Caenorhabditis elegans: one gene and its partners. The protein of the gene in region 3 interacts with the protein of the main gene of each other region in a pairwise test. Each region holds a gene or a part of one and is shown on either strand. Other genes may lie near its edges.

Evidence for each region.
Region 1: the proteins of cul-1 (region 3) and skr-9 interact in a two-hybrid assay, tested with the Caenorhabditis elegans proteins (one study listed by BioGRID).
Region 2: the proteins of cul-1 (region 3) and sup-36 interact in a two-hybrid assay, tested with the Caenorhabditis elegans proteins (one study listed by BioGRID).

The regions. Positions count from the first base shown.
Region 1 is NC_003282.8:17,159,658-17,166,476, reverse strand, and holds skr-9 (Skp1-related protein), read right to left. Parts: upstream 2,905-6,819; coding exon 2,320-2,904; downstream 1-2,319. Other genes in the region: skr-8 (Skp1-related protein), read left to right, coding at 643-1,227; skr-13 (Skp1-related protein), read left to right, coding at 3,862-4,380.
Region 2 is NC_003282.8:6,597,889-6,604,762, reverse strand, and holds sup-36 (SUPpressor), read right to left. Parts: upstream 3,090-6,874; 5' UTR 3,058-3,089; coding exon 2,944-3,057; intron 2,884-2,943; coding exon 2,488-2,883; 3' UTR 2,320-2,487; downstream 1-2,319. Other genes in the region: nstp-2 (UDP-xylose and UDP-N-acetylglucosamine transporter), read left to right, coding at 1-70, 484-590; F15B10.3 (BTB domain-containing protein), read right to left, coding at 905-1,300, 1,361-1,483, 2,027-2,083; F38A5.8 (uncharacterized protein), read right to left, coding at 4,272-4,463, 4,681-4,881; nspb-5 (Nematode Specific Peptide family, group B), read right to left, coding at 5,271-5,324, 5,374-5,565; nspb-4 (Nematode Specific Peptide family, group B), read right to left, coding at 6,232-6,285, 6,335-6,529.
Region 3 is NC_003281.10:10,467,606-10,477,757, reverse strand, and holds cul-1 (Cullin-1), read right to left. Parts: upstream 6,522-10,152; 5' UTR 6,521-6,521; coding exon 6,393-6,520; intron 6,339-6,392; coding exon 5,108-6,338; intron 4,586-5,107; coding exon 4,124-4,585; intron 3,965-4,123; coding exon 3,638-3,964; intron 3,583-3,637; coding exon 3,520-3,582; intron 3,006-3,519; coding exon 2,874-3,005; 3' UTR 2,629-2,873; downstream 1-2,628. Other genes in the region: D2045.9 (Glycosyltransferase 25 family member), read right to left, coding at 1-387, 679-838, 1,511-1,770; D2045.5 (non-specific serine/threonine protein kinase), read left to right, coding at 8,255-8,287, 8,342-8,792, 9,080-9,651. UniProt on the Caenorhabditis elegans protein: Probable core component of multiple cullin-RING-based SCF (SKP1-CUL1-F-box) E3 ubiquitin-protein ligase complexes which mediate the ubiquitination and subsequent proteasomal degradation of target proteins.

The sequences.
Region 1 (6,819 bases), on a different chromosome or scaffold from region 3:
AAATATCGTCAGCATAGTAGTTAGGATTAGTTGTACAGCCCTGCACTTTAAAACGACGATCTGGTGTGCGTAATAGAAAATGGTAGTAAAAAAAACCAGAAATGGGAAAAGAAACAGCAACATGGAAAAAATCAGAACACTGCTCGCCTTGAACAAAAAATTGCATAATGAAAGAATGGGTACCAAGCAATACAGAGTCTGCAGACGCTGTGCTAATAATTAATCGATGAACTGCACAATGGACAAGTCCCTGTGACTATCGAGGTGAACGAAGAACAGCAGCTAATACAGCTTCAATAGAGCAGTGTATGTACATTTTCCAATCAATAACTGATCTACAACGTAACCGATACGCTACATTTGCAGCGTTCTTGTCATATTCTGAATATTGTCCATTCGAAGAATTATTCTGTCGTTTGGCTCTCATCGCGAACAGTCGCATTTCATTTTTTCTCTCCTTTTCTTTATTTGTCTGATTTTATTTTAGTTTTTTATTTCCTTTTACCTTTCTGATCTTTTGAATGGTGCCCAACTACCCTTTTATAAAAAATTTTCTCTTAACGTTATTCCTCGCCAGTCTTCCATATTTTGTTACGATCTTTATCAATTCATATTTTTTAGAAACTACCCAAACTTCTAAAAATGATTGCTGAAGCCGCCGCGGTCGAAGTTCAAGCCAACGAGGCTCCAGTTGTTGCTCCAATCATGTACAAGGTCGAATCGAATGATGGAAAAGTGTTCGAAATCAGTGATGAAGCAGTTAAACAATCAAATATCCTCTCCAATCTGATCTCTACTTGTGCTCCAGAGGATGTTGCTTCAATGGATCCAATTCCAATCACAAATGTCACTGGAAATATCCTGAAGATGGTCATTGAGTGGTGTGAGAAGCACAAAGGAGAAGCGCTTCCAGTTGAAGATGACAGTGTTCCAAAGAATATAAATGTTCCCGAATGGGATACCAACTTCTTGAAAATCGACAACGAAGTGCTCTTCGACTTGATCGTTGCCTGCAACTACCTTGATGTGCCTGGATTAATGAATTATGGATGCAAGATGGTTGCCAACATGGCTATCGGAAAATCTCCTGATGAGTTGAGAATCATCTTTGCAATTCCAACTGATGAAGAAGATGAAGCTGCGGAGAGAGCTGCAAAGGAGAAGGCTGAAGCTGAGAAGAAGGCAATTGCTGACAAGGACGCAGCTGAACCATCAACTTCCAAATAACTTTCATGCTCTAATTTTTTCAAGTTTTTGATGACATTAATAAATTTGATTGTGATTCGACGTTTTTATAAAAATAATTTAAAGTTAAAATTACAGAAGATGTAGTCGAAAACATGAAAAATAGGATTACCTATAGAAAAAGAAAACCAACGGTTTTGGATTCATAATTTTAGGACTATGATAGCACTCAATTCAATTGTAGTTCAATTTTAATCATAAGAGTACATTACCAAACAATGTGCAAAACATTTGAATTCTTTTGTTAATTATTTCAAACGCTCGAACAATTATATTTATTTCTAAAAATCGGTTGTGCCTACATGACACGCCTACCTTAGTGTGACTCGTTTCCATGAAACAAATTTTTCGAGTTTTTGATCAACTAACACCTTTGGCTGCCATTACAATTTATGTAAATATGAATTTCAGATTTTTTTTTACTTTCAAGAAAATGAGGCCGAGCACAGAAAGAATAATACAAAAAAAATTTAAAAAAAGTTTTTATTCTGATAAAATCTACTGTTTCGAATTTATCGTTTCAAAAATGTAATGTTTCCAACTCTGTTGTTTTATTCCATCTTTTATTCAATTGAGCACAACAATTTGCAAGATATTTGGATTTCTTTGTTGAAGATTTCAAATAGTCAAACATTTATCATAGTTTTGGAATTTGACCCAAAAAAATCGAATAAATTTGAATTACGTGTAGTCTACAAATTGTTCGTTGAACATCTTCAAATCTTTTTGGCCCTTTTCGCGAATGTTTTTACAAAATATTACAAGCATTACTTTTCATTATTTCAAAGCTTACTTCTGCATAACGTTTGTATATTGGTTTTTTTTAAGGAATGTTCGTTTTCAAATCAACTGTAAGTAATAATATTACTAATAATTATTGAAACGGTTTACAGTTATATCGTACAACTTTAACACTATATCAACTGTTTAACAAATTCTAAGATTTTCTCTTTTATACGTACTAATTTTTCTTATTTTTTACATTCAATTTCAGTCTGAAATTTTTTTTTAAAAACTTATAATGACAGTCAAATGTATTTATTTACCAAAAACTCGAAAATAAAAGTGTGAAAGTTATTTGGAAGTTGATGGCTCAGCTGCGTCCTTGTCGGTGATTGCCTTCTTCTCAGCTTCAGCCTTCTCCTTAGCAGCTCTCTCCGCAGCTTCATCCTCTTCATCAGTTGGAATTGCAAAGATGATTCTCAACTCATCTGGAGACTTTCCAATGGCCATCATGGCAACAATCTTACATCCGTAATTCATTAATCCAGGCACATCAAGGTAGTTACAGGCAACGATCAAGTCGAAGAGCACGTCGTTGTCGATTTTCAAGAAGTTGGTATCCCATTCGGGAACATTGACATGCTTTGGAACACTGTCATCTTCAACTGGAAGCGCTTCTCCTTTGTGTTTCTCACACCACTCAATGACCATCTTCAGGATATTTCCAATGACATTTGTGATTGGAATTGGATCCATTGAAGCAACATCCTCTGGAGCACAAGTAGAGATCAGATTGGAGAGGATATTTGATTGTTTAACTGCTTCATCACTGATTTCGAACACTTTTCCATCATTCGATTCGACCTTGTACATGATTGGAGCAACAACTGGAGCCTCGTTGGCTTGAACTTCGACCGCGGCGGCTTCAGCAATCATTTTTAGAAGTTTGGGTAGTTTCTAAAAAATATGAATTGATAAAGATCGTAACAAAATATGGAAGACTGGCGAGGAATAACGTTAAGAGAAAATTTTTTATAAAAGGGTAGTTGGGCACCATTCAAAAGATCAGAAAGGTAAAAGGAAATAAAAAACTAAAATAAAATCAGACAAATAAAGAAAAGGAGAGAAAAAATGAAATGCGACTGTTCGCGATGCGAGCCAAACGACAGAATGATTCTTCGAATGGACAATATTCAGAATATGACAAGAACGCTGCAAATGTAGCTTATCGATTGCGTATTAGGTCAGTGAACAATTACCAGCTGCTCTTCTTTCAGCTCGACAGAGGACTTACCCATTATATTATCGACTGATTTTCAGCACAGCGTCGGCTGACTGCTCACTGTCTATAATTACCTATCATGTTCACTTGCATTCAATCTACATTATTTTCTTTAGTGGCAGGCACTCACTTTCAGTTTTTCCCTGTGATTTTTGCAATTCCGTACAATTTGTGTGTTGCGTGTATTTGGCATTTTTCCAAAAATCTTCCAACCATTTTACATCAGCATTATCATTAATATGAAGATGACATTTTATAAAGTTATGTTGAAACAGTAAATTTTTAAAATTTATTCTTCCAATTTTTTATTTTCAAATTTCATCGATTCTAGTTTTCTTCGAGTCGATCACATCTGTCAACCTTACATTTTTCCCAGTCATCCCTCAACGGTTAGGTAATTTCCCACAGAAATGTATCGATTTATTTTGAGTGCGCGTCGCGTATGAGCACATCTATTCAGTCATCCATCATTCGATACATCAGTTGCATTGTGAACTGGTTGTTTTTTTTAATAGTGATTTCTCAATTTTTCTCTCTCTTTTCTTTGAACCTTAACTTTTGAACCTAAATAGCTCATATCTGACATTTTCAGAATCTACCTAGTCATCACTATGTCTGCTCCAGTTGCCGATGCTCCAGCTGCTGAAATCGTTTACAAGATCATTTCGAGCGATGGAGTTGTATCCAAAATGAGTGAAAAAGCCGTTCAACAATCGAAAACTCTGAGCAATCTGATTGAGAATCTCGGCTACACCATCGAAAACATCGAGACCCGTGATCCAATTCCAGTTACAAATGTGAATGGAAAGACTATGGCGAAGGTTGCTGAATTGTGTGAGAAGCACAAAGCCGATGCAATTCCAGAGGACAATATGAATGTTCTCAAGACTCTTACCATTCCAGAATGGGATCAAAAGTTTTTGAAAATTGAGGATGAAGCTCTGTTTGATTTGATTCTGGCTTCAAACTTCCTTGACATCAAGGGTCTCATGTACTATGGATGTAAGACTGTTTCCAACATGGCAAAGGGCAAAACAACTGCTGAACTCAGAGAGATCTTTGGAATCAATACGGATGAACAGGATGCTGCTGAGGAAACTGCACAGAAAGCTGCCGCTGAAGTTGCCTAATTTATGGATGTTTTTTTAAAATTACGACAAATCGTTATTCCGCTGTTGACAATAATAAAGCTAACTAAGCAAATTTTACACAAACGACAAAAGTGAGCTGATGAGCCCACGGTGGGTTTATTTGCCTATTTCTCCCACATTCCACAGAGAAAATAAAGTTGTGAAAATTTAAATGTAAACTTAAAAAAAACATTTGGAGAGAATTTGTAATTGTTGCAATTTTTGAGACAACATCTTATCAAAAATTAAAACATTTCCTGTTTCAAGTGTTTCATAAAATTTTTTCAATTTTCAGATTTTCCATTGTACTTCTCCTTATCAGAGGATTCTAATATTTTTTAAAAAAATTTTATTTTCTGGGTTACTATTAATTTTCAAAAATTACCTATTTTAATAGTTTATTAATCTATATTTGTTAAAGTGTAGCTCAAGAAAGCTTTAAACTTATAAAACCTGATTGAAACTGCAGGAAATTCGAAAATTTAATAACAATTGTCAGCATGCATTATCAAAAAATTGTTGTTTTAATGTAAAGTGGCAATCACCAGCAAACGTTCAATTTCCAAATCCCTGAAAGAAAACTAACCAAATTTTACTCTGAAGTACATATTTTCTTCCTGCCTACTTGCCTGCCTGCCTTCTAGTCGAATTCTTCCTAATTCCACGTAAACATCAATTATAGTTTCAGTTGAATTTTTCTTAGTTCCCGAAATTTCATGAAAAAAATTTGAAACATATAAACTCAATCTCATTTTTGGTCGTACTGCTGATATTTTTTCTGTAATTTTTTTCAGACATATTTGAAACTGTAATTTTTTTTTCTTAATACTTTTAATTTTTGAAAACAATCCAGAGGTGGAGTATGGTTGACAGGAGTTCTGCTGTAAAATATAGAAATGGATCGTAACAAGGCAATTCTACTGTTTAAAAAATGTACCAGAAGTTTTCGATATTGCAAAAAAAAAGTTTTAAATTTCAGACATTTTTTTTTCGATTTTTAGAACAATTTTAGAGTACCAAAAAAGTTTGAAAGCCAACACAGATTTTTTGTTTGCGCGGGAATTCAAAAATTACTCAGTCAGGAATTTGAACTTTTTTTGCAAAAATGTAAAACCCACCATTAAACTGTGTACTAAAATGTAATGAAAGATTTCCAAATTTTTGAATAAAAACCACTTTTCAAAATAACATTACCACTTAAAATCCTTTAAAAAAACTAAATTTTCAAAAAGACAATTTTCAAGGAATGACATTTGTAAATTACTGTTTCAAGAGTTTTTAATTTGTTTAATTTTAAATTTCTTTTCAATACCTCTCTGATGTTTTCATTCTTGGGACTAAATTTAATTGTTTTGGAAAACTGATTTTCTTTTTTTTTGTTGATCAAATTTATTTTTAATGTTTCAGAGAAATTATAATCAATTATAAATAATGCTTTTCTAATAGTTTAACTTTGAGTTTGAAATTTTAAATAACTTAATTTTAATCTTAAAAATATTTTCACTCTTCCAGAAGCCCTCCAAAATCCCTTAATGTTTTTAAAATTCACCCTCCCCATCTCTTTTCGTGGTCAACGTGGCTCGTGACACCCTTTATCAACAAAATTTGTAGTGGTAACACCCGCTAATCTGACAGACATATTACTAGAATCGTGGACATTTTCGCGGAGACATTTGGTAAACAATCATCAGGGTGCAGTAAGAGGTGAATTGTAGGGGATTTCAGTAAAGGTTTTGAACGATTAAATAGTAGATTGATAGTAGATCATAGGTTTTCGGGTTTCTGGAAGCTTCTAGGTCAAGTGATCTTGTGGCTGACACACTTTCCGGGTTACGAAAACTAAACAATAACGTCGAGCACTGCTGAAAACTGGGTTGTTAGGCGAGCTATGCCTTTCCAACCCGAAAAATGTCGGCCGCTGAAATTGTTATTTACTTGAAAGCCCAAGGGTGTCTGAAATGTTTTTAGCGAACATTTTTGCAACTTAATTTGGATTTTGGATTTGAAAGGTTTTTAGGAATAAATGTATTATTGGGATTTTTTTTTTTGAAAAAAAATTTCCTGTTTCAACGTGGAAATTTAACAGTTTTATCTCAGAAAGACAATATTGGTAAGTCCATATACTTATCACAATTGTATTATGTTTTGTAATTTAGAAGCTTCAAAGTTGACTGATTTCGGAATTATGTGCCGGACACTACACCGGGCCCTAAAAATTTGAAAATGATAAAATCGAGCGCTCCAGGTAAAATATGTAGGTTTTCCAAAAAAGTTCACAAACGAACCCGAGAAATGAGGGCCGCGTTATCTTTCGCGATAGCGCTTATTACTTAACATGACAAAAAATCTAGAGACTTAGGCAAAAAAAAGTTAAGTTAATAAATTTGAAACAATTGTGAAACAATATTTTTTAGAATTTCAAAAATTATGGTAATTTTT
Region 2 (6,874 bases), on a different chromosome or scaffold from region 3:
CTGGTTGTTACTCTTCGGAAATTCCTCTCACTTATCGTTTCCATTGTCTATTTCAAGAATCCATTTACACGTAAGATTATTATTGACTTTTTTAATTGTAAAAGTGATTAGAAAGGTTCCTGGTCTCGACACAATCGAAACTTCGCGGTTACCATACCTAAAGCATATTTTTAGAGTTTCGCTCAATTTTTCATAATTTATAATGCAAAAATTAGAACATTTTTCCTGATGGAGATCAATCAAAATATTGAAGAAAAAAAACAGAAAAGTCGTAGAAAATTAGAACACTTGCGGGTACGGTAGCTGGGAAGTTTTGGTCGTTCAGAGACCGGGTACCATATCTTTGTACCAAAATCAAATGTTTTAAAAAACGTTATGTGATTCTTTTGGTCGTAAACTAGGGCTCCATAATCTAATCTGAAAGGAAAAAAAAAGAAATACTAAAAAATCGTCTTTAGAAATCAAAATTCCTCTCTTTTTCAGCTCAACATTGGCTTGGAGCCATTCTTGTCTTTGCTGGAACTCTTGCATTTGCTGATATTTGGGGAAGTCAAACTGCCAACAAGCAAGATGAGAAGAAGAAACAGTAGATAATCACGTTCAATGTACCATGTTTCTCGACGCTTTCCAAATCCCAAAGTTTCACTGATCTGTCATTTTTCCCCGATTGCCGCTAGCTTTTATAGTGCTCATTTCTATTGCATCCTGATTCAAGTATTGTGATATTTTTTCCAAGTTTTTATAAACTATTTCAGAAACTTTAAAATTCAAACAGTGGAAGTAAATATATAGTCAACAAGTTTTATTGCAGTGAAACGAGAATTGAAAGTATTGAGGTTGTATTTAACAAAAAATCATGAAAATTAGCAGAACGAGATCGGAGCAAACTGGGGGAGAATCGGATCTATTGGACATTCTGGAATGCATCTGCTGGTGGATGAACCCATCCATCGGCTTCATCGAAAAAGTGTCCCGGTGCATTACATTCCACACCCATGTACGCAGCGATCTCCTCAACTGATTTGTCTTCCAACTTCTTTCCGATCACAAATCCCAAACATTCCATGAAATCAGTACACTCGAAGAAGTTGGCTAGCTCAATGATTTCTTTGAGCTCATCCAAAGTCTTCTGTCCAGCTTCTTTGTAGTTCTCGACGACTGTCAATTCGTGGATTGTATCATCATTTGGTGGAACATATTTTTGAATATATTCGAAGAGGAAGACACCTGCCTTCTTATTGAACGGAATTGAAAGTGGAGAAGTAACCTTGACGTTATCTTGATTCTCAAAGTCGGGGAACTGCAAAGAATTCGAGATTTAGTTTCGAAAATACTAATTTTGAATTCAGGGCTAACGTACCTCAGACTGAACCGACCGAAGAATCACTGGAACTAGCATAATGATCCCCGTATCACGTAGGGTGACTGGCTCCTCAGAGTCATTGAAGATGAGATTGATCTCGCAGGATGGCATTATTATTGGCTGAAAAAACGAATTTTTGAAAATGAAAGATTTATGAGAATGGAAAACTCCGCGCGGAGAAAGAAACAATTGGTTAAACTAAATATTACAAAAGTCTTATGAATGAATAGAAAGAAAAGATATACCAGCTGCTACGACGCTTTAAACTGTGCTCATTGTCACAATCAATGTGGAACAGTGGGAAGAAAGTCGAAAGATGTGACCTAGAATACATTGGCAAGACGTTAGAGGTAAACATCACTGCCAAGATTGCTATTGTAGGAAGAAAGGGCAATCTATGACCCTTTGTAAATTGGAAGTAGATATATATTGAACAATGTCAGATACACAATAATATCGATCACTTGGCAGTGTTCCAAATTTGCACATGTAGTATTAAAAGCAGAACATCTGGGCTGAATATTCCCATTTAAACGTTTTCAGATTAAAACAAAATTCAACTAGGAGAGCTATCATACATTTGTAAAAGCGTGAGCACTAGCCGAAATCGTCGCGATAATAACTCAGAAAAAAATCATGTGCCTTTAAAACTGAATGTCTCACTTTTTCACGGAAGTATGATGACATTGAAACTTTCAATTTGAAAGGAATAGTAAACATCGTGAGCTACGGTAATTCATCAAAATCCGGAATAACTGGAATAGGGCGAGTACCTCTGAAAATCGTGGCAACCTTGTTTCCGTGGATTTGACGTCGATTTTTTTTATTCAATTCACGGTTGAACTAATCGAGTTGATACTGTAATTTTGCATGAATCGTCCTCAATTACTTTCCTCTCTGTTGATTTTTTTGGCAATTCTGATTTCGAGTTCTTTTTAAGATTTGTGAGCACATTTCGAGAAAATCATTTTATTCATTCCTTAAAATCAATTTGAAAAAGTTCTGATAAGTATTTAATATATTACAAGGAGGTAAAAAGTGAAAGTATTGAGCTTGAATATATTTAACACAAAATCATGGAAATTGGCAGTGGGAGATCAGAGCAAATTACGAGGGGATCGGATCTATTGGACATTCTGGAAAGCGTCTGCTGGTGGATGAATCCATCCGTCTTCCTCTGCGAAGAAGTTTCCTGGTGGATTGCATTCGACTCCCATGAAAGCGGCGATCTCTTCGATGGTCTTGTCCTCCAACTTCTTTGCAATCGCAAATCCGATGCACTCCATGTAAGTGGTACACTCCCAGAAGTTGGCGAGTTCAATGATTTCTTTGAGCTCATCCAAGGTCTTCGGTCCAGCTTCTGGGTAACTTTGTTCAACAGTGATCTCATGGACATTGTCATCGGTTGGTGCAGCGTAGCGAGCGATGGTATCGAAGAGGAATACTCCAGCATCCTTCTTGAATGGAACCCTGAATGGAGCTTCAATCACCGCATTCTCCTCGGTCGCGAAATCCGGATACTGAAAAAAACGTTTATTTTTAAATCTATATTTCTCAAAAAAAAAAATCTGATATCTTACCTGGAGCTCAACAGCGCGACGGATGACTGGAAGAAGCAGGATAATGCGAGTTTCACGAACAGTGACTGACTCGTCAGAGTCGTTGAAGTCGAATTTGATCTCGCAAGATGGCATTGTTAACGGAAGATGTAGTGCAAGTTCTGAAATGATTTCGGTTAGGAAATTGTTTTTTATTGCAAGAGAATGAGGAAGAGTATTTACAAAATCAATGTTATAATTCTAGTAAATGGTAGAATGAATGTCAGAGGAATTCCAAAGATAAGCAAGAGAAAAGAAGAATATGATGAATGACTGAATAAATGCAAAAGAATGAAACTCTATGAGTATTGCGCGACGCGCTCTTTTACAAGTATAGAGAAGAAGACGGAGGGTGTGAGAGATACAACATATGACGAGGAAACATTGATTTCGAAATAGAAGGAGGTGTGCTACGCAGGATGAGTGGAGTTTATTGTTTTCCGATCGATACTGCAACCAATACATTTGGAACTTGGAACAGTGGAATTTGAACTTTCCCGATATTTCGAGTGTAGTGTAACAAGTGGATTGGAAAAACAGTGGCTGAGAAAACGGTTATTATTGTGCGATAAAAATGTTATTGCGAATGGAGCAATGAACACTTTGGAAGATAGACAACGGTAGATTTTTAATATTCTGGAAGGAGTAGTAAAAAGTTCTTTTAATTATTCGGATAAGTCTCGAGAGGGAATTCACATTCATGTAAAAATGTTTTTTCTTGAATTGGGAAACTAGAGTACTTTCAATAGATGAAGTTATTCGTAGAAATAAGAGAAAATAGTCATATTTGAAAGATCCCAAAGATCGAAATGAAAAAAAAACTTATTTTTCAGTGGAATAGAAAAAATGCGGGAATACAACCAAATAATTCAATAAAACAAGAGTTTTGTCTCATTGAGCATCAATCCATTCAAAATGCATTCATAAATTTATTAATACAATTAAAAAACTGAAAAATAATGAGAAAATTCGAAGAACACATAAACTTGTGGAAAATCAACAAATTATTTGATTGTCCGAGAGTACACGATGGTCGCTCATTTGCGCGCGGAATTCAAATTAAATAGACGCAGAGATTTTGGCGCTTCAGGGGTTCATAGCGCTTTAAAGCGTTGAGATTTTTGAAAAAAGCATGGTCATTTTAAATATGTAAAACTTTTGTTTATGTAAATACATGTAAAAGTTTTACATTTGCGTAAAGAGCGTTACTGTAAGGTTACTGTAAGCTTAGTAATTTTTCAGGAAACTTTTGAAAGATGTGAGTACAAAAAAATTCCCCATAAAATCTTTATTCAAACTCGGCAGTACTCTTAATTAGACTCTTCCATCAACTTATTCTCAATCCATGGAAGTCCGCCCTTACTTGCAGAAAGGAGAACTGGAGTCGATATGGCGATCACCATAACAATCAGGAACAAAAGAGTCGCCACGTGGCAAACGTCACACGAGTTTGGTCTGTGCTTGATCGAAACTACATCATGGTGGGTGCTCTCCATATTGCTCTGAATTTATATAATATTGATGTAAGCAAAGAGGAGTTACTTTCAATTAAAAAAAAAGGCTTTTTTGAAGATTCTTGTTTTGAAGAATTTAACAAAATTACAGAAACTTCTGGGACTTTTCTGTTAACCAATACTCATGTCATACTATTCTTTTCAGTATTTTCTCAACAAGAAAAGCTAGATCGCTAAAAAAAGCCAAAATCATTAAAAAACCAACCACTTCATACTCTGAGGCGTTTGTCCTTTTTCGATGTTTTCCGGCTCTGGTCGTCTCCGCCGCACTTGATCCAGAATCTTCATCCTTTTTAACCTTTGGAGTGACTGCGAGTGGCGATGGAGGAACCATCGTGGGCATCGGTGATGCAAGAGGAGGCACCGAATAGACGGGACCAATTACTTCGTATCCATCGTCTGCCATTCTTTTTTGATAGACACTTTTACAAATTCTGAAATAATTATGTGGTTAAGTTCTAAAATTCTGCTTGAGAAGCCCGGAACTTACCTTTAAAATTTTCGTTATATATGAATTTTAATTGATAAATATCATACAAAGATAGGAATATTGATTTTTTATTATATATGTTCAAAAAACAACATTTCGGCTTTTAGAACATTTAAGGTTGTTACGTTGAAAAAATATTTTGTAGTATTTTTAACCACATTTTTTAATTAAAAATTTTGTGTTAAGATTTTTTGTTTTTAAGTGTTTATTGCTGTGGAATAATTTTAGGGCTTCACAAATAAAGTCAGATAATTTATTTTGACATTTCAAATAGTTCTTATTGTGCATATATTTCAAATGAGAGATCATTGATTATTTGTCAATTTCTGAGTTGGAGCAGAAGATGGTGCTTGTTGTCCCTGAATTTATAGATATTTAAATATTGAATGCTAACTGATATCTTATTACCTTATTAGATCCCCATCCATAATATGCAGTTGGATAAGCAGCAGCTCCATAAGCATAAGCATATGGATAAGCAGAAGCAACTGGAGATGAAGCATAATAATATGGAGATGATACAACAGGAGTATATAAAACTTGACACGATGAAATACAGAAAAGGGCAAAAATCATGACAATTGTGGATTTTTGGAACATTTTTAGATTTTTCAGGTGAGACTCGGAAGTGATTGGAAAATTGAAAAGTTACCGCTTATATAACGTTACCGCTTTATATAGACGACGTTACCGCTTTATATAGACGACGTTACCGCTTTATATAGACGACGTTACCGCTTTATATAGACGACGAGTTTTATGTGAATCACACATACGATAAAATACTTCGAATGATGTTTGCTTAAAAAGGTATGGACTGTCATTTCAGGCACACCTTGAACTCTCTGACTAACTGTTTGGTATAGACGAATTATTGGAGATGGGGAATTGGAACACAATTATATTAACTATGAAACCGTATTAAAATTACCGTTATTAAATATTCCTGAATTACTTCATTTCTTAAAGATTTACTCTGTTATACATAATTAGCATTAAAAAAAACGAATGTGAGTTCAATCTTTGAGAACAGCTATGAAATTCACCTAAACCTCAAAAATCCTCGGACATGGTCCAAATGAAATGTGTTTCAAACTCCAGATTCATTTTTTGCATGCTGCTTTTTGAACTCTATAGAAAAACCTTCTTGATAATCAAACCATACGGTAAAGACACATTAAAAATAAATAACATTAACACAACTAAAATGGAAACAGTTTATTCGGTGGTTCATATAGTACACATATTCCAAAATGAAATATCTCTTTACTGATTATTTGTCAATTTCTGTGTTGGAGCAGAAGATGGAGCTTGTTGTCCCTGAATTTATAGATATTTAGATATTGAATGCTAACTGATATCTTATTACCTTATTAGATCCCCATCCATAATATGCGGTTGGATAAGCAGCAGCTCCATAAGCATAAGCATATGGATAAGCAGAAGCAACTGGAGATGAAGCATAATAATATGGAGATGATACAACTTCAGGAGTATATAAAACTTGACACGATGAAATACAGAAAAGGGCAAAAATCATGACAATTGTGGTTTTTTGGAACATTCTTAGATTTTTCAGGTGAGACTCGGAAGTGATTTGGAAATTGAAAAGTTACCGTTTATATACGATTGATGCATGTTTGCATAGACTCTTTGCTTAACAAACTTACTCTTGACACTTTTTGGATTAAAGATGCTATGAGACTAGGCCGTGAAGAACCAGAGAATCGACCATCCAGTAGCAAATATTCCCAAAAATAATTTAATATATGTAATTTGAAATCCAGGAAAAGTTTCAATCTAATTAAAAATATTGTTTGAACAAAAGTTTTAAGGTTATTTAGGTAGGAAAATTCCCTTTTCTGAATCTTAAAAGATCGACTACTCTTGCTTTCAATTTGGGTAATTC
Region 3 (10,152 bases):
TGGCCGCTCATCGGCTAAAAAATCCGCAATTTGATATCGAATCGTGCTTCTTCTCTCTTCAATATCCTTCTCCGGATTCACAAAAAATCCATAATTGACTTGATTGTCAGCCCATAACTGTATACCCATATTCTTGGCAGACACCACAAAAACTTCCGACGGATCATCGGCACCTTCATAATTTGGAAGATTATCCTTATCAAATGTTAGATAAGATGAATCAATAGTTGTCAAATCAATTGCCAATGGAAGTGAAAATGACAGAATTTCTTCGCGAACATTATTTTGATTTATGAGGGTTTCAGAAGGTTCATCGATGTTGGAGGATCCATCTATTGATTGGAAAAGTGGGGATACTGCCACGTGGGTTTTTTCGTTGAATAGAAACTGAAACTTTTGGAACTGGATTTAAAAAAATATATATTCGATTTTTTTTAAATCTGAAACTTTCCAATTTTTAATTTAGACTTGTCAAAACTAGATATATGTATACAGACTAACTATAATTTAGACTTTGAAAATTGTTGGAGATGCGTCAAATATGGTGCATTTAGTCCACAACTAAAATATGTGCTGAAGCCATCTTCAATGCACCATCACTTGAGTTTTTCTTAGCAAATTCCGTCAAACGATGCACCATATTTGACGCGCAAATCTAATTTGTTACCTATTTCTCACCTGAATCAAATTCATCTCAGTTGGAACTGTATCTCCTGAAATAAGAAGACAACGTTCAACTTTTTGAAGTCTCGCATTCCTCAATCCGCTTTCCAGCCAATTTTCTGATTCTTCGATTATTTTGACAGATTTGAAGTATTGTTTTGTAGAGTCTAGCCACCTGAAAACTACGTTTTTTGGAAAATTATCTGACAAAATATTTTCCATGCTACAATTTGTTCGTTGCCATTTTTTTTCAGCAGTTTTTTCAAAAAGTTGCAGGAGCACGAAGTTAAGGAGCCTAAGCGTAAACCTAAGCCTAAGCGTACGCCTGAGCCTAAGCCTGATCTTATGCCTAAGCCTAAACCTTAGCCTAAGCCTAACCCTAAGCAAAATCCTAAGACTAAGCCTAAGCTTAAGCGTAAGCCTAAGCCGAATCTTAAGCCTAAGGCTAAGCCTAAGTCTATGTCTATACCTAAGCCTAAGCCTACGAATAAGCATAAGCCTAAGCCTAAGCCAAAGCCCAAGCCCAAGCCTAAGCCTAATTGATGGAATCAATTTGAAACTTCAGACTTAAGCTTCTTGGTGGCCTATACGACTCTCTGTTAAATTTCGCTTTGATCGGCCAACGGGAACCCTTTGAAAAATGAAAAAACGCTATAAACCCAAGCCTAAATAGCGTCAGCTAACGCTCGCCACTGACGCCAAGCCTAAACCTGCGCCTAAGCCTACGCATGGGCATAAGCCTAAGCCTAAGCCAAAGCCTGAGCCTAAGCCTACGCCTACGCCTAAACCTAAGACTAAGCTTAATCCATGTTCCTGTGGTTTGCAAGTTATGCGCCTTTAAACCAACCATTTAACCTGATGAATCGTCGCATCTTCCTTGCTTAAAATGAAAATTTCCACTTTAATCCTATCCTTTGGATAATCCAAATTCTCCAGCCAACCCAAAAAGTATGGAATTGCGTGGGCGTGCTCACCGAGCCCAACCCCTATATACACCGGCGGATAAATGTGCCGAACGTCTCCCTCATCTGGCTCAGCTCCCGGAAATAGAGCCCACGAGCTCAGAAACACGTGGAAGAGTAATAAGCAGTGTAGAAATTCGGTCATATATTTTGTGAAGGGATTCTGGAAACTTTTTATCGATTTTTTTCAAAAAAGTTCTAAAAAATATTAGAATAGTAGAATTTTTTAAAGTTTCCATTATACAGTGAAGATTGGAATTTCTAATTGCGATTTTTACGCCAAAAAATAAGATATCCCGGTCTTGAAACGACAATTTTCGTTAAACGCAAAAGGATGTGTGCCTTTAAAGAGTACTGTAATATCAAACTTTCGTTTCAGCGAAATTTTAATCGATATTTCAAAGTTTTTCTCACAATTTTTGCTGAAATTTATGTACGTTTACTGTTATATTTTTGAAATAAACAAATGTTTAAAGTAAAACTTTTTAAAAAAATCGAAGAAAATTACACAAAAACGAAAATTTGAAATTACAGTACTCTTTAAAGGCGCACACCTTTTCACATTTAGCAAAAATTTGTCACGTCGAGACCGGGTACGGAAAATTTCGCGACTGTGTAATAAAAAACAACTGAAAATTCAAATTTCCCGGTCAACGCAACGTGGAAAGTTAGCCTTCAAATAGTAGTCTATAAACAGAGAAGACTGAGCAAAGCATTAGTGTGAAGACTCAGAGCAGTGGGAAAAAGTGCATCTGGTGAACAGACGGAGGGGTCAGAGCAGCAGTAGTGTCTCATCCAAATTGTCTTGTTGTAATAATTCGTCATCGATTTTTTTGTTGTCTGTGGTTCAAGTGACTACTCACCTTTTTGCATTTGGCCTTGAAAAAACTGAAAAATTCACTTGGAAGTTGAATTTTTTTTTAATTTTTCCGAAAAAAGACGAAAAAAAATCAAAAAGGTTTACCGAGTATACGGTTTTTCGAATATTCTACACACAAACGATTTACAAAACCCAGGACCATTTACCAGAGAGCGCAAAATGAAGCCAGGACCCGCTTCTGTAAAGAAGAACAATCGAATAAGGAGGGACTTGGAGAGGAGAATAAGTAATAGAATACAGATGGTGTTGAAGTTTTCAAAAACACGGATATGAAGGGAAGAAGAGGGTGGAGAATAAAACTGGGCGAAAAAAGTAAAGGGGAAAAATAGTTTTTAAAAGAGAAAATAGAATATTTAAAATGAAATGAATTAGGCGAGGTACTCATAGAGATCTTTTTGTCCTTCTGTACGGAGCATATATTCCTTTTCGATGAGTGATCCAATGCATCTCTTGATCATTTCAACCTTTGGCTTGAATCGACCGGAAAGTTGTGTGATCACCTGCAAAAATATCATATTTAGAGGGTTTTAGATGTTTTTTCTTTGAATTTCCAAGTGGAGTTTTTTAAAATTTCAAAGAAAATTCGATTTTTCCGGTGATTTTTTTTTTTCAAATTTCATGGAAAACTTGATTTTCCACGTGGATATCATCTTTTATTTTAGGGGTTTTAATTTATTTCTTCAGAATTTTGTGTTGAAAATGCACTACGAAAGCTCGAAAATTTTGAAGATTTTTTTTTCAATTTTTACAGAGTTTCTACCAATTTCAGGTGAACTTTTTTTTTGAAAATTGAATTTCCAAGAGAATTTTATCGAAATTTCATAAGAAATTCGAATTTCGACGCGTTTTTTTTACGAAAATGTATAGAAAATTTGAATTTCCACGTAGATTTTATCAACAAATTATGAAAAACTCGTTTTTCCATAATCAGATTTTTTTCGAAAGTTCATTAAAATTAAATTTCCACGTAGATTTTATCGATTTTTTTCGAAAATTTGAAATTTCCAAACGAACCTCTGTCATAAGCTGCTGATGCTGTACACGTTTGCGAGTTTTCATGATTCTTACGATGCAAGCCTGAAATTATTGAATTTTTCTCTCCAAAACCGCCGATTTCTCATCAAAAACTTACACTAATCACGCTCTTCCGATCCTCCTCAACATTTTTCTGCACATTTTCCGTATCACGCACGGCGTCCTGCTTCATCGTGAATTTTGACAAATCGACACGAACTTTCTTGTTCATGTAGGCTTTGTTGAGGCTTACGGTCGCCGTCATCGGTACTTCATCCTCTTTTTGGAGTTCTGTGTCCGCTTTGAGCACAAGATTTTTGATGAGAGAGCCGACAATGGCTGGTGCTGACTTTTCGTCCATTTTTGTGGCAGCGGCGATTTGTTCGACAGTGTACGAGTCCTGTTCGTTGAACAAAAGCATTGTGCACATTTGAGCAGTTGTGGCCTGGAAAATTTTAGGTTTTTAGCTGTTATTCGATAAAATCCAAGTGAAAATTCAAATTTTAGCTGGGTGGCAGATAGTAAAATTTTGGACTTTTTTCAGGCATTTTCTTCCGGATTTTTAAAAAATATTTTTAGATAGAAATTCCACGTTTAAACTTACAGTAAACACATATTTCTTGGGAAAAGCTGTAGAAGTGATCTCTCCACGACTCTGCGAGTAAACCCACGTGAGCCGACGTCCATTGAACTTCTCATTGTAGAATTGTCCAAAGATCTCAATAGTCTTCGACAGCTGCTGTGGAAGAGTTATTGGTGTCGTTGGGAAAGTCGGCCATGAGCCCGAACTGAGCACGAGAACATTGAATTCAACGGATTTCTGGCCGAGCATATCCGCTTTCTTTTCCTTGAAATCCGCGGTTAAATCCTTGCTGACTTGAGTATCGTTGACCATTTTCGAGAGACGGGCGGTATACTCGTACCCGCACATACTCTTGAGCTTCGTGATAAAGTTAGCCTCGGCTTCATCACTTGCTGAGAGTTCACTGATAAGTCGTTTGCTGAACATTTTCGTGTAGAATTTGGAGAATACATCCTTATCGTCAATGTACTTGAACACAACCATCTGGAATAGAAATTTTAGAATTTTGAGCTAACTTTTTAGAAATTGGGTTTTCATTTCTATGGAGGTTTGAAATATTTTAAATCTTTTAATCCTTTAATATGGCAATTTTAGATAAAACCTCAAATTTTCCCGTATGTCGGAAATTGATTTTTAATTGATTACTGGCGTTTTTCGTTGATTTAGGTCGATTTATAGCCACATTTAAACGTCAGAAAAAGGTAAATAATTGAAAAGTTGGGAAAATTGCCGTATTTTTCGAAATTTTGAGAAGCCTCGATATGAATCGATATGAAAAAATCGGTATGAAAAACGATATGAAAAAAAGGAGAGGAATCTGTTTTTTTTTTTCAGCGAAAATCTCAAATTTAGCCAACTTATCAGTTTCGCAGTGTGCACTCATCGATCGAAAATGTTCCTCAATCAACGAAATAAACAACCAAAATATGCAAAAAGTTGGTTAAATTTCAAATTTTAGCTGGAAATTACGCCATTTTGAGAAAAAAAAAAGCGAGAAAAACCTACAATCTTCGTCTGCAACTCCTCGAGCTCCGCCTCATCGGGCATCTTCGAGCTTTTTCTGAGCAGTTGATCACAATATCTGGCAAGAAGCTCCGCGGACTTTGTCAACTGAGCCTGTGGCGGGGCACGTTTAGTGACGGCATTATTATTGATAAAAGAAGTCGCCGCCTTATCGAGTGATTGCATGAATCCTGGCTCATTTTTGAATGATCGATTGACAAGGCTTTGATAACGTTCATGAACCTCCAGAAGCGTCTTCACGTAGAGTTTCGCGTCGGTTGCCGCCTCCATAGCAACTCTTTCCAACGCCTGGTGACCCTCCTTTGCGATGTGATTCTCCAGGGATTTTCTGAGCTCGTCGAGTCCATTCGGCACTCTATCGCAAAGCTTGAACATTCTGGAAAGGTCATCGTCTCGTTTATCGACAAGAAGACCACCGAAGTGTCTCTGGAGGAAGTCAAGCTGATTAGAGATGAGCACAGATTCACAGCAAGTTGCAAGTGGAGTTTTTGTGGAAGAATTCAGGTAGAGTTGACAGCGATCATCCTCTTGATTAAGTCTTGTCTCCACTTTAATCATGTAATCTGTCACATTTCCTCCGTTGCTCAGGAAATTTGCCGCCTCTTGGGTATAAAATCCGCGGGTCGCCTCCAAAAACTTGACTTCGAAGAATTCCTTGTAAACGGCCAGCTTCTTGGTCTCCGCGTCCTTCTTCGCATCGGTCTCCGAATCGTCAACACCCAACTCCACAAGACACTCGACAACTCCAGAAATGTATCGGCTGTTGATCATGGATCCGGTTCTCTCGGAACGAATCAGCTCGAGCATCGCATCAATCACCTTATCCTTAAGATCATTGAACAAGTTACGCTTCCAGACGACCAACGCAAGTGTATAAACCATGTAAATGTTCTCATGGCCCTCGTCGAGCTCACGTCTGATCCAATGACGATTGAGGTAGGCAAAAATACCATCCATCACCTTCGACGAGATTCGGAAGTTCTCCCATTCAGTTGTGTAGTATTTCAGAAGATCCTCGCCCGACAACTCGGCGCCCTTTTCACAAACAGCGATTACGTACGCTTTTACATATTCCTCAACACGCTGGTACATCTCGTGACCGACAAAATCCGCGCCAGCGGTTCGTGCTGGAGTTGAAGATTCTGCTCGACCGTCTTCGCCGTCTCGGCGGCTTGTGGACAATGTTATCGATGTGCAGTAGTCATAGACGCTTCTGAAAATTAAAGATTTTATTGAGTTTCTGTGGAATTTCGGGGGGAAATCTTACGTGTAAAGAGTCATATAGTCTTTTGGCGCCATATTTTCTCTGCGATACGCTACATCAAGTCCATCTTGTAATTTCTTCCAAACCACCTCGGAATCACACGTCATTCTTCTCGGTTCGCTATTTGTCATACTGAAAAACACATTTTTAAAAAATAATTGTCGATTAAAATCAAGGGATTTGTCAATTTCGCAAGAAACAGAGGAACGAGGAAACAAGGGCCCAAACGCAAACGCGCTCCAATCCAAAATCATCATGTGTTGGGAAAAAGTCACCGAAGGTGGAAATAATGGGCTTGAAATTGAGAAAATTTATGAGATCCCGGAAAAATAGATGTTTTCAAAAAAATTGGAAAACTGGAGCAAAATTGGGGGAGAAATATAGATATCCTGGAAGAATAGAAAAAAAAGACGAAAATCCAGAGCCATCACTGAATGGGGATACTTGTGAGCCAGCAGACGTTAGAAATGACTCGATAGTGAGCCTCCGACTGGAAATTAAGAAGACGCGCTGAAAATCGCGGGAAGACAGTAAATCGATTGCCCTCGGACGCGATTCTCACCGCAAATCGATAAATTTAACTGGGAATTGGAGGGAAAATAGGAGATTTTCTAATTTGCTAGCCTGGGAAAAGGGGAAATTAAATAAATACATAAGGAAATTGTTCCAGCGATAATTCTAGCTTTTCAAGTGATACTGGGGAAATAAATTAAATTGTTCTTAACAGGAGATTTTCAAAAACTCTGTGAATTTTGGAAAATTTTCAGATGAAAGACACCTAAATAATAATAATTTTAGACTATTTCATTTTCCCCGGGACTCAGGAATTTCCAAGAACAGAAAAAAAGCGAATTTCAGTTGATTTTTCAGAGCCCATTTCAGTGAGCTAAACACCCTTGGAGACGGAGACTGCGCGACACAAGCTAGAGACGCCTCATCTTGTGTCTTCATCGATTCTTAAAGAAATTCTGGTGAGTACAATGGTTCTGTTAGTGCACAAAAGACAGCTGAGATGGCGGGATGATCTGGAAAAGAAAGGTCACAGGAGGGAATGATTAGCGGCTGTGCAATGAACGGGCGGAGTTTTCTAAGGTTTTAACAATAGCAAAGTTTGTTTTTTAGGTGTTTCGATGTGCAAAATACACGAAAGCGAATTTTTAATAGTTTAAAGTTGAAAAACGCGTTTTCATTCGAGAAAAACTGGAGAAAACATGCATTTTATGCAGAAAAAAAAGTAAAAAAAGAATTCGATAAAACAACAGGTGGAAAACAGATTTTTAACTGTACATCGATCCTGGCGATGCCCAAAGGAAATTTTAATTAGTGGAAGTAATAATCGAAGTACTGTAGAACTAGGTTTTTTAAACAGGAGCCCATAAAACTGTAATCATTTTTTATATTTCTATTGCGGAAAAGAGGAGAAATTATTCTTTCACAAATAAATAGACAAAAACTGAAAAAAAATGAACAAAAATCGCTGTAAAACTCGAAACAGTTCTTGGCGGGACTCGGTAAACTTATTAGTTCGTGCGCCTTTAAAAAGATACTGTACCTGGAATAACAAGAAAAAACAACATTAATTAAATCTAAGAACATTTTGTATTCTTACAAGACTTACATGATTTATCAGAATATGTTGCAACTATTTGGTATAAAATAGGAAATAAATAGTTTTAGAATTTTCACCGTAATCATATGATCGGTGAACAACGGCCGTGAAAAATAAAAAATATTTTAAAATGTGAATAACAAAAAACCAATACATAAAAGGATTGAATAAATAATTAAATTTATTTCAATATTTCGAAAAGCTACATTTCTCTATTAGCTACACAGTTTCAATCGATTTCGTGGTCAGAATCAGTATGGAAGAAATTCAAGCGATCACAGAAGGAAAAGTGAGTTTCTCTGAGCATTTTCAGCCGGAAATTCACAATTTCCCTCAATTTCAGATAATCGCAAAGCGTTGGAAAATCGTTGAAAAACTCGGCGAAGGCGGTATGGGTGCGGTGTTCAAAGTACGAGATCTGACCCGCTTTCAGACATACGCCGCAATGAAAGTCGAGGGAGACGTGAGTGACGGCGGGGTTCTGAAGCTGGAGGCTCACGTGCTCAAATCACTGGCTCCACTGCCGTTTTGTGCAAGATTGATGGATGCTGGCGATCGAAAATCGTATTGTTTCATGGTGATGACTCTTCTTGGCAAGGATCTGATGGCTCATAAACGGGATGCTAATACTCCGAGATTCTGTGAGCAGACGACTCTTCGTCTCGCGATGGCAACGTTGTTTGCTATCAAACAGATTCATGAAGTGGGATTCACTCATCGGGATATTAAGCCGGGAAATTGTGTGACCGGGGTTCATGGGAGTGACGCCAAAAACGTCTATCTTATTGATTATGGTAAATTTTTACGAATTTTGACGATCCCGTTACTCGACACGACAATATTTTGTTTGATGCGAGAAGGTGTGCGCCTTTAAATGAGTACTGTAATTTTTTTTAACTGTTTTCCTTATGTTGCGTTTTTTCTCGAAAAAAAAACACTTTCCAGATCCATCCTCTGAATCATGAAAAACTGAAATGTACAGTAATCTTTAAAGGTGCACGTCGCATTCAACACACATGTTTGTCGTGTCGAGACCCGGCACCGTATTTTTGATTCAAAAATCACACCAAACTTCGTTCAGGAATGGTCCGTCAATTCACCGCCAAACGAGAGAACGGAGAGACCGCACTCCGCAGAGCTCGATCCGGCGAGCAACTATTCCGTGGAACTCCTCGCTATTGCAGCATGAACGTTCACAATCGGAAAGAGCAGGGACGCGTCGATGATCTCTGGTCGTGGCTCTACATGCTCATCGAGCTTCATTGTGGGCTCCCGTGGCGCCGACTGACCGATGAGAAGGAGATTATGGACGCGAAGATTGCATGCTCCATGGAAACTTTGTTGAAAGGGTGTCCCAAGGAATTTGCGAATATTCACAAGTACCTGGAGACACTGGAATACAAGAGCCGCCCGGATTATTTCGGCCTGTGGAGCGAGTGCTTTGCCGGTTTCAAGAGAGTCCGTGGATCGTTCTTTGGCCGATTCGAGTGGGAGCTTGGGAAGGGCGGTGGTGAGGAGATGTTCACGGCTCTGTCGATCAGTGAGAAGAGAGCTCCTAACGATTATAAGGTGGCGACGAAGATGCAAATGGCGAAGAAGATCTGGCCGTATGCGGATTCTGCTCATTTTAAGAAGAAGATCCTCAATCTTTGAACTATTTCTGAACTGATTGACCCCTGAAACTATGAATTTGTGAAAAAAAATACAATGAGCAATAATTGATGTTTATTACATCTGGGGGACGGGGGAAAGGGGCATTCACTAGAATATGAGTAGTGTGCGCGAGATGGTTGAAGATAATAATGTTAAGGAAATAAATTATAGATTTTGTTGTGGGGGGAGGGATGGTATTGCTCAAAAAAAAAGAAAAAAGGAAGGATTATTGGTTTGGTTTTACAAGAAAAAAAAAGAATAAGACGGTCTCGGAAACGGATAATCAGGAAGGCAGAGCGAGAGAAATAACGAATAAAAAGTGAAAGGAGCATTTTGACATGATCCTTCGTGTACGGAAAAGTGTACTTTTTCCGACACTACAAGTAATTTGTGTGGGGAGAAGGAGGAGGAGGAGGTATTGGCGGTGTGAACTTTACCCACAAGAGGGGATACAAAGAACACACGGTTTTTTCTAAAACTAGAACATCACATCTTGTTGTT